2 linked regions of the Yarrowia lipolytica genome follow. The protein of the gene in region 1 interacts with the protein of each later gene in a biochemical or structural test. Links are inferred from orthologs where the notes say so. Each region holds a gene or a part of one and is shown on either strand. Other genes may lie near its edges.

What was found.
Region 2: the proteins of YALI1_F02047g (region 1) and YALI1_D26808g form a complex in vitro, tested with the Saccharomyces cerevisiae proteins (2 studies listed by BioGRID). The link is inferred for Yarrowia lipolytica from reciprocal best matches to the Saccharomyces cerevisiae genes RAD16 and RAD7.

What each region holds. Positions count from the first base shown.
Region 1 is NC_090775.1:201,459-206,446, reverse strand, and holds YALI1_F02047g (uncharacterized protein), read left to right. Parts: upstream 1-1,729; coding exon 1,730-4,264; downstream 4,265-4,988.
Region 2 is NC_090773.1:2,678,425-2,682,570, reverse strand, and holds YALI1_D26808g (uncharacterized protein), read left to right. Parts: upstream 1-1,733; coding exon 1,734-3,554; downstream 3,555-4,146. UniProt on the Saccharomyces cerevisiae protein: Component of the global genome repair (GGR) complex which promotes global genome nucleotide excision repair (GG-NER) which removes DNA damage from nontranscribing DNA.

The sequences.
Region 1 (4,988 bases):
GTGCAAGTATGATAAGAACTGCCAATAAAAGTTGAGGCACTGTACGACTGTTTCATTGTGGAAAATGTTTCTTTGGATGATTTTTTTTCTGAATATCAACCGACTTTCGGTCTTGGCGTGACTGTACAGGTAGTACTGCTGGCCTGGCCACCAGCATGACCTCTCAATAGTCTAGACACTGGCCACTGAAGGTGCTACAACTACAAGTATCTGACACTTCACCACTCAATCCCTAGACACGCCACAACCGAGCCATTCTACAACACGAGGGTTCTGAAAGATATCGCAGTGGCCTCCATAGTATAGCTCTCTAGGAAGAGGCTGTCTTAGCGCGGTCGAGGAGTGTGCCATTGAACTGGGCCGTGGGGATGATACCATTAGAACAGACTAGAGTGCCTTGGACCAATAGAACAGCCGTGGCTTGTCTTCCGTGACCCATAATATGCTAGTATAGTACAAACAATTTCTAGACTAGATAGCCAGGTATATCCCCATTGTCCTACAATCTTGAGCCGAGGGCCAATAAAAAGCTACAAAGAGGAGCAGGGTTTTGGTTAAATGATTGGAAATATCTGGAGCTCCCGAATGGTATTAAAATCTACGTGGCTGGAGTCTTTCATGTGCTCTTGGAGTGAATTTTGAGCTAGAGAGTCGTATAGTTAGATTAATGGTTAAGGGAAAAGCCAGCTGGGGGCCCAAATTCGATGATCTAAATTCGCCAGGGATATAATAAATTTCTAACCAGAAAGAGGACAATGAGAGATTGTCAATAATGCAACTTTTGAAAAGTATTTCCATACAATAATTCATTTTATTGCTGTATGTCGAATGATGAAGACTCAGCCTAATACTTAGACTTTGTTTAGACAGAATTTGGAATCATTCGAACAACCGAGGAAGGTACGTGAATAACGAAAATTCCGCGAATGGGTTTGGAAATGCTCATATATCACAATATTCTAGGTTACAGAACATTCAACTTCTCTTCGTGAAGTTATAGCACACCCTTGTCTCTGGTCTGGTATTAGCACACAGCACCAAAACACTCTGGTGAGGACAAACACTGTATAATCTGCTCAATTGGTTCAATACTGCACATATCTGTGTCCCCAAGGTAACCCACGACACGATACTACAGTATTATTTGTATCAGTTGAATCCTAGGTTGAATGAACTCCTATAGGCTGTTATTTTCCATCGCCCATTGTCAAGTCAAAAGTGCGCATCTTTGATGTACTTATAGCCATGATCCCTATGTGTACACTGCTAACCGCCCTTATGAGTGATGCGACTAAGCCGCAAGAACCCGACACAAGAATATATATATATATATATATTAATCAGCTTAATTTCCCGTAATTTTCTCGATTTTATCCGTATTTTGTGTCTTTTTTCCTACTGTTCTTCCACCCGTCTATGCTCAACTGTGATGCGGCTCGGTGGCGAAATTTCATATATCATTTTAACATCAAATTACAATGCCGTAGAAGCAGCTGAGACAAATTGAAAAACGGGATGGAGTTCCGAAATACACCACAAGACCGAAAAAATCGGTTTAAAATGTTCTTCTGTCCTTTCCACCGCGTCCCGGAGATATCGGAGTTAATCAGTGCCCAAATAGGCACTGTAAGCTTAAAGTGACCGATCCAAATTTCAGTTGGGAACTTTTCTTATCGTGCAGTGCATCTCAGCATCTCAAGCCCGCTGCACACCTCTCCGACACAAGACCATGACAGTATCCGGCGACCTTTCCAGCGAAGACGGCGGCGGATTTGTGGTCAGCGACGCCAGTCCAGCCCCCGAAGCGCCCAAGAAGGAAACAAAACTGCCGACGTTCAAGCGGAAGCCGAGGACCGCTGCAACTAACAAGGCCCAGCTCAAGGAGTTCGATGACGAGGGTAATGAGGTGGTTCAGGACCCATCCAAGACCAGATCTGCTTCAAGTCAGGAGCCGGCTGCCGCGCCTAAGAGACGTGGCCGTTCCAGAGCCGTTATTGATGACAATAGCGAGGCTTCTTCGTCGTCGTCGCTCGCTACACGAGCTAAAGTCGCCACCCGATCCCGAGCCACAAAGCCAAAGGCGACACGCAAGCGGGCAATAGTGGTGAGTGACGACTCTTCCGGTGATGAGTATAAGGCCAGCGATGAGTCTGATCGAGAACAGGCCGTGGAAGATGGAGGGTTTATGATTGCGGATGATCTGGAGGAGGGCGAAGAAGAGAAACCCAAAAAGAGAAGAGCTCCAGCTAAAAAGAAAGCCAAGAAGGACGACTACGATGAGCTGGATGAAGACGGAAACAAAAAACCCCGGTATCTCAAATACTACGACCGGACTACCAAGGCTTTGTTTGAACAGCATCCTGAGTTGGAGAACACCTTTATTGATCTCGACAATAAACCGAGGATCCAGGTTGAAAAGGCCGAACAGCCAAAGTCTATGGCTGTAACTCTGCTGCCGTTTCAACAAGAGGGTCTCAACTGGCTTTTGAAGCAGGAGGAGGGAGAATACAAGGGCGGTATTCTTGCTGATGAAATGGGAATGGGTAAAACTATCCAGACGATTGCCTTGATCATCGCCTCGGGAGTCAAGCCCAACCTCATTGTCGCCCCTACCGTTGCTCTGATGCAATGGGCCAATGAAATTAACGACCATTCTGCGGGCTCTCTCAAAGTGGCTGTTTACCATGGAGCCAACAAAGATTCATTCTCTGTGAAAGATCTGGAGGGCTACGACTGTGTGATGACGACCTATGCGGTTCTAGAGAGCGTTTACCGACGTCAACAGAGCGGTTTTGTGCGCAAGGGAGTCGAGGGAAAGCAGTACAAAAAGTCTCCTTTGCATCAAGTTCAATGGGGAAGAGTTGTGCTAGATGAGGCTCATAATATCAAGGATCGGGCAAGTAACACCGCCAGAGCCGCCTTCAATCTCAATACCGAGAAACGGCTTTGTCTCTCTGGCACTCCTCTTCAGAACCGAATCGGTGAAATGTTTTCGCTGATTCGGTTCCTCGGAATCAAACCGTTCTGCGAGTATTTTTGCAAAAAATGCCCCTGCCGATCTCATGACTGGAGCTTTGTCAACAACCGAACATGTGTCACGTGCGGGCATCGACCCATGGACCACACAAACTACTTCAACCACGTGCTCTTGAAACATATCCAGAAGGGAGGTATCAGCAAAGAAGGCAAGGAGAGCTTCGGCAACATCCAGAAACTGCTCAAGCACATTATGCTGCGTCGAACCAAGGTCGAGAGAGCAGATGATCTCGGTCTACCCCCTAGAATCGTCACTATTCGACGGGACTTTTTTAACGAGGAGGAGAAAGACCTCTACCAGAGTATCTACTCGGACGTGAACCGGAAATTCAACACCTATGTGGCACAGGGAGTGGTTCTCAACAACTATGCCAACATTTTCTCTCTGATTACTCGAATGAGACAGATTGCAGATCATCCTGATTTGGTTCTGAGACGTGCCAACCAGGGAGAAGGAGGATACATTGACAATGCTATCATTTGCCAGCTATGCGACGATGAGGCCGAAGAACCCATCAAGTCCAAGTGTCACCACACGTTCTGTCGAGTGTGTATCAAGGACTACTGTTCTGGAGCCTCTGACTGTCCCGTCTGTCATATCAACCTGACTATCGATTTGAATGCCCCCGCTATTGAACAGGAGACCAACTCCAAGGAGAAAACATCGATTGTTCAGCGAATCAACATGACTGGTGGCTGGCGATCTTCCACAAAGATTGAGGCATTGGTCGAGGAGCTATACAAGCTGCGAAGCGACAGACAGACCATCAAAAGCATTGTTTTTAGCCAGTTCACATCTATGCTGGATTTGGTGGAGTGGCGGCTTCGACGAGCAGGGTTCCAAACCGTCAAGCTCCAGGGTAACATGTCCCCTACCCAGCGACAAAACTCCATCAAATACTTCATGGAGAACCCACAGGTGGAGGTTTTTCTGGTGTCTCTCAAGGCCGGAGGAGTGGCTCTGAACCTATGCGAGGCATCTCAGGTGTTCATCCTGGACCCCTGGTGGAACCCTTCGGTGGAGTGGCAGTCTGGAGACCGAGTCCATCGTATTGGACAGCATCGACCTGTTAAGATTACTCGGTTTGCGATCGAAGACTCCATCGAGTCGCGTATCATTGAGCTTCAAGAGAAGAAGGCCAGTATGATTCATGCGACTCTGGGACAAGATGACGGAGCCATCAACCGGCTAACCCCTGCTGATATGCAGTTTCTTTTCACTAACTAGAAGTATAGACATGATAGATGTTACGTATGCTCTATGGAAGTCTGTAGGTCATGTAGAAGTGACAGCGCCTGTCAACCGAAAGACAACTTCCTATGGAGCATTTGAGCCGTCAAAGATTCTGTATTATCAACTGGATGTCAACCTTTCTATAAACCATGGAATAACCGTCAACAAACACCTCTGTGCAATCTTGCGATGCTCGATCTTGGAGAAGCACGCCAACACCGTGTGCATTCATGGAGTCTACACATGCTGCGATATTTGGGGACGAAAAAGAACTTGTGGTGTCAGAAGAAGGAGGATGATGATGGTTTGAGTCCTGTAGTGTCTGGAGTGTTATCTCCATATCCAGAGAACAGTATATGAGCTGCCAAGTCTTACCACTGTCCAGAAGCCAGGCCATGAGGAAGCCAGAGCCGTAGAAAGCCTCGAACATTGAGAACTGGGAAAATGGGCTATGGGCCGTCAACACGTCCACAGCGTGCCATCTACCGGCACCAACATCAACTCTTTAGTTTGGCAGTCTCACTTCTAAGGAGTAGGACTACGATACGAGGTACGTATGGCTAGGGTCTGTCAGAACGTCAGAACTGATATTGACCCGTTGCGAAATCGAAAAACTGTGAGAAAAGTGCAAAATCGAAAAACGCAAAATCGAGCTGCACACCAACTAATTATCGTGCTAATTATACCGATGAGACCTGTTAGAAGCACCGGATTAATC
Region 2 (4,146 bases), on another chromosome or scaffold:
TGTTTGCGATGAGGGAGGAGTTGTTTCAAAGTGCATCACATTTGCGGGAGTGGAAATGACGTCTCTGGGGGTGCTACATTGTCGGTAGAAGGCATGATGTCCACGGAGACGCTATTCTGATGAGTTCACCGCATTCAGGACAAAAAACTCTGCAAAACAATGCCATATAGTTCCCCCTCTTTGCACAATGAAACGCTCTCGGGCGTAAAACGGACTAAATCCCAGTGTAGGTTACAACCATCAGAGTGCCGCCCGTTGTACAAGACGCACAATCAGAAACGTAGAAGCGTTGGTTTTATCGCTAGTCGACTGACAATACTGTTTGAAGCACGTGTCTCAAGTCCTCGTAGCTCGGCTTGTTCTAGTAATTGGTGGTGGAACAAGGTACAAGGCACGGCGGTCGACACTCAGACTCTGTATGATGAAGGCTCTTGTATGGAGGAGGTACCGTACAAGCATTGAATGAATTGCACGTCGGAGGCATTTTTCAACTTTGCCAAACGTTTTCATATCGGTTCTTTTCCCCTTAATCCATCTCCGGGACCTGTGGAACGCACCCATACACTCGGTTGCAACCACGTCTCTGGCTGAAAAAGTAACGCCAACCTTTGACAGGCCAGTAAAGGGCCTTTCATGAGAATAATATTGTTTTCCAATTAGCCAGGTTTCACTTTGGAAAATATCCACACTTCCACAGGCTCGAGCACTTACTCAGCCATACCCTCAAGATTTAGACCTGTAAACCATGCTGGGCAACTTGTTTCAGCACACTTCCCCGAGCATGCAAACAGGAAATGCGCAGTCAAGACTTGAAAATACTCACAAAAAATACGTCGTATTGCCCCTCAAGCCACTTTTGTCGCCGGCTTTTGCTTTTTTCCGCCCAGAATCTGCCAACCCCGCATCGCAGTAAAGTTGGTGCTAGCGGAACCATCGCACCAGCGTTACATCGGAAGGGGGGAGGGCGGAGAGAGGAGAGAGGTCTCGTGACTGGAGCCGTTTCTGTAGAGTCACGCCTTTTGAATATTTGTTTTCTTCTGTGGGAAACAAGTCTATGTGTGTACTTGTTCATATGAGTATGGTAGGTATGTCGCGGTTGATTGGTGTTCAGCAGATACGGTTCCGGTGCTAAACTAGTTGATGGCAGAGTTAAGCAATTGTTAGCGCGTATTACTGGATGCTTGTTTGTAGTGGTTACGACAGTCTGTTGAAAAAGATGGGATTCACTCTTGGTGATGGGTTGCAAGGTTGGTCAAGTCAGGATAGAGGCAGGAGCAACAAGTGGGAGAAGTGGGAGAAGCGGGAGGGGTTTTCGTTACCATCTTGGAAGGGATGATACATGAGGGCCAGACTAGAACTTTGCTTCCAAGCTATCCAAGATCTGGTGTACAAGGTCAATCTGGTGTTTGTTTGTTGCGGCTCTGGTTTCAACACCATGAGTGTGACATAACGGACTGGGTCTGAGTAAAGTGACAGATTGTCGAGTTCATTCAACAACATGGTGAAGAGCAATCTCCTCATGGTCTCAAATCTCCTCATGGTCTCAAACCTCCTCATCTTAGAGAGTCCGTGAAATCGACTTCATCAACCGCAGTTGTGTCTTTGAAGGTATGTACAGCAACACGTGTTATTGCATGCTATAAGTTACCGGATCCCTGTAGAATCCCGTAATGTGGTCTCCCGTTTCCCTCCTATCGCCTCATCGATAATCGCCGCCGTTGTTGCGTTCGTATATGTCTGATTTTGGTGGCGTGCGTTTGTCATGCACCTCATCTGCACCAATTTACAGGTTGGTGATGGGAGGCGAAACTTGGCAAAAAAAACAGAACCACGCCACCCATCGACACATGCGCCACTACAGACACAGACAGGCTGTGACGGGCTCGGGCGAGGTGCGTGGCCCCAACTCCGCGCTGACGGAGTTTCTCAAGGAGCAGGGAATCACGCGACGACGAGAGTCTTCCGAGCCACCTGACGAGGTGGGTCTGGAGGTCGGAGATCAGGGCCAAACGTCTCAGACGGCGATCGAGCTGTCGGACAATAACACGGACGACTCGTCCGGGTCCAGTGCCGACGAAGACGACCCAGATATCGTTCGCATCCGCAATCTGGCTCGCCGAAAACGCAACTGGGACGAGTCCGAAGACGATCCGGACATGACATCTGAGGAGGAGATCAAGGGAGTCAAGAACCCGGGCCAGAAGGACACGTGTGCGGTTTGCGGCGTCTTGTTTGTGGTGACCGCCTTCTCCCGCAACCACAAGAACGACGCCCTCAAGCTGCTGTGCTACGACTGCACCATGGAGGAGGTGAAGAAGGAAAAGGAGGCCAAGAAGCGGGACCACAACTTGCGAAAGCTGCGGAAAAAACAGGCTGAGGCGCTTCTCGACCAGAAACAGTACATCCGAGTGCCCAAGCTCCAGGACATGTGTATCACTCTGATCACCACCCATATTGACCATGTGGAGGCTCTAGGAGATATCGGAGGCGAAAACAAGAACAAAATCAGCCGCATCTTATCGAGAAACCGTCGACTGGACTCGGAAACCATGAAGTTCTTTTTCGACACCCAGCTCAAAAACCTCGAGTTCTGGGACTGCTCCAATATCGACTCGGAATCACTCCGAATGATTGGCTCCTTCTGTCCCAATCTGGAGGAGTTGGTTCTGGGCATGTGTGGGCGGCTGCGAAAGGAAGACCTGCTCTATCTGGGCGAAAAGCTCAAGTCGCTGGCCTCTCTGTACATCGATGGAGCGTTTCTTATTTCTGGAGACACTTGGAACGTCTTCTTCGACATGGTAGGAGGCGGTCTCAAGGAGCTCACTATCAAAAACAGCCACCGAATCTCCTCGGAAAACATTGTGTACATGTGTGAAAAGTGCCCCAAGCTGGAAAAGTTGGTGCTGAGCAGACTCGAGGGATGCACCGACCCCATGGGATACGAAATGGCAGCTCTAACCCTGGGAAACCTCAAGGAAATTGAGATTAGTTATCCTCAAGACGAGTCACTTGTTTCCGATGATCTCATCAGTGGCCTGGTATCTACTTGCGGTCCCCAACTCAAGTCAATCAACCTCGATGGTTGTTCGGCGCTCACAGACAAGACTCTAGGCACTCTGCGGGCATGTACAGCTCTAGAGTCCTTGTCTCTGAGTCATGTGGACCAGCTGACCGACAACGGAGTGGCATCACTGTTCTACCAGTGGGAAAACCCCGGTCTCAGTGAAATCCACATGCGCAAGTGCATTGCTCTGGGTGACGATTCGTTCAGAGTGCTTGTGGACAACTCGGGACCGACGCTCAAGAGCATCAGCGTCAACTCGTGGGCAGAGATTGGGGTCGACACGGTGAAGACGGTGTGTAAGAGTCTCCCGGGGCTGCAGGACATTGACCTGGGCTTCTGCAAGGGTATCAACGACGAGTGTGTGGAGTTGTTGGCGGAAAACTGTCCCCTGTTGCAGAAGATTGAGGTCTATGGAGACCCGGGAGTGACGGAGAATTGCAAGGTGGGCGACGGTATCAAGTTGATTGGCAGGATGAGTGATGTCGTCTAGCATGTGCCGGTGTTGTTTTCCACAAAATGTTTGTATAATGAGATATTGAAACGATTCAAGTGCATTGTTCTCAAACCAGCTGGAGACAGTACATACTGTAGGTGTTCCTCTGACATAGGCGTTTCCGTTCCCTGGCATAAGCGTTCGTCTGATGAAAAAAAAAAAAAAAAAAAAGCTGCTTTGGGCGACTAAAAAAGATTGCAGGCACCCCAGGATTCTCCGTATGGTCTCCCACTACAATACTAAACTGGGCTTCTCTGGTGCCTTGACTATGGCTGATCGGACGGGAAGCCGTATTTTCACCGGGATATGGCCGCAACCGTTGGCTCTGAGAGTTGTAGGGGGCTTTTTACGGGACCAGAAAAGTCTCGTGGGTGAAAACTTGAATGCGGCTTTGAGCCCCTGTAGAAAGGAGTAGACGCACTGAGAGGAGGTAGTGTACGTAAGAGAGATGGTAGAGACTCCGATGGTACTATCGGTTTCGCTGTGGAAGGGCTGGAACATACAGTTTTGGGGTATGATGTTGAGTCACCAACCTCTCTGCTCGAAGAGGTGAAACATGGTAGAAACGGCTATAACGGGTTAGTCATAA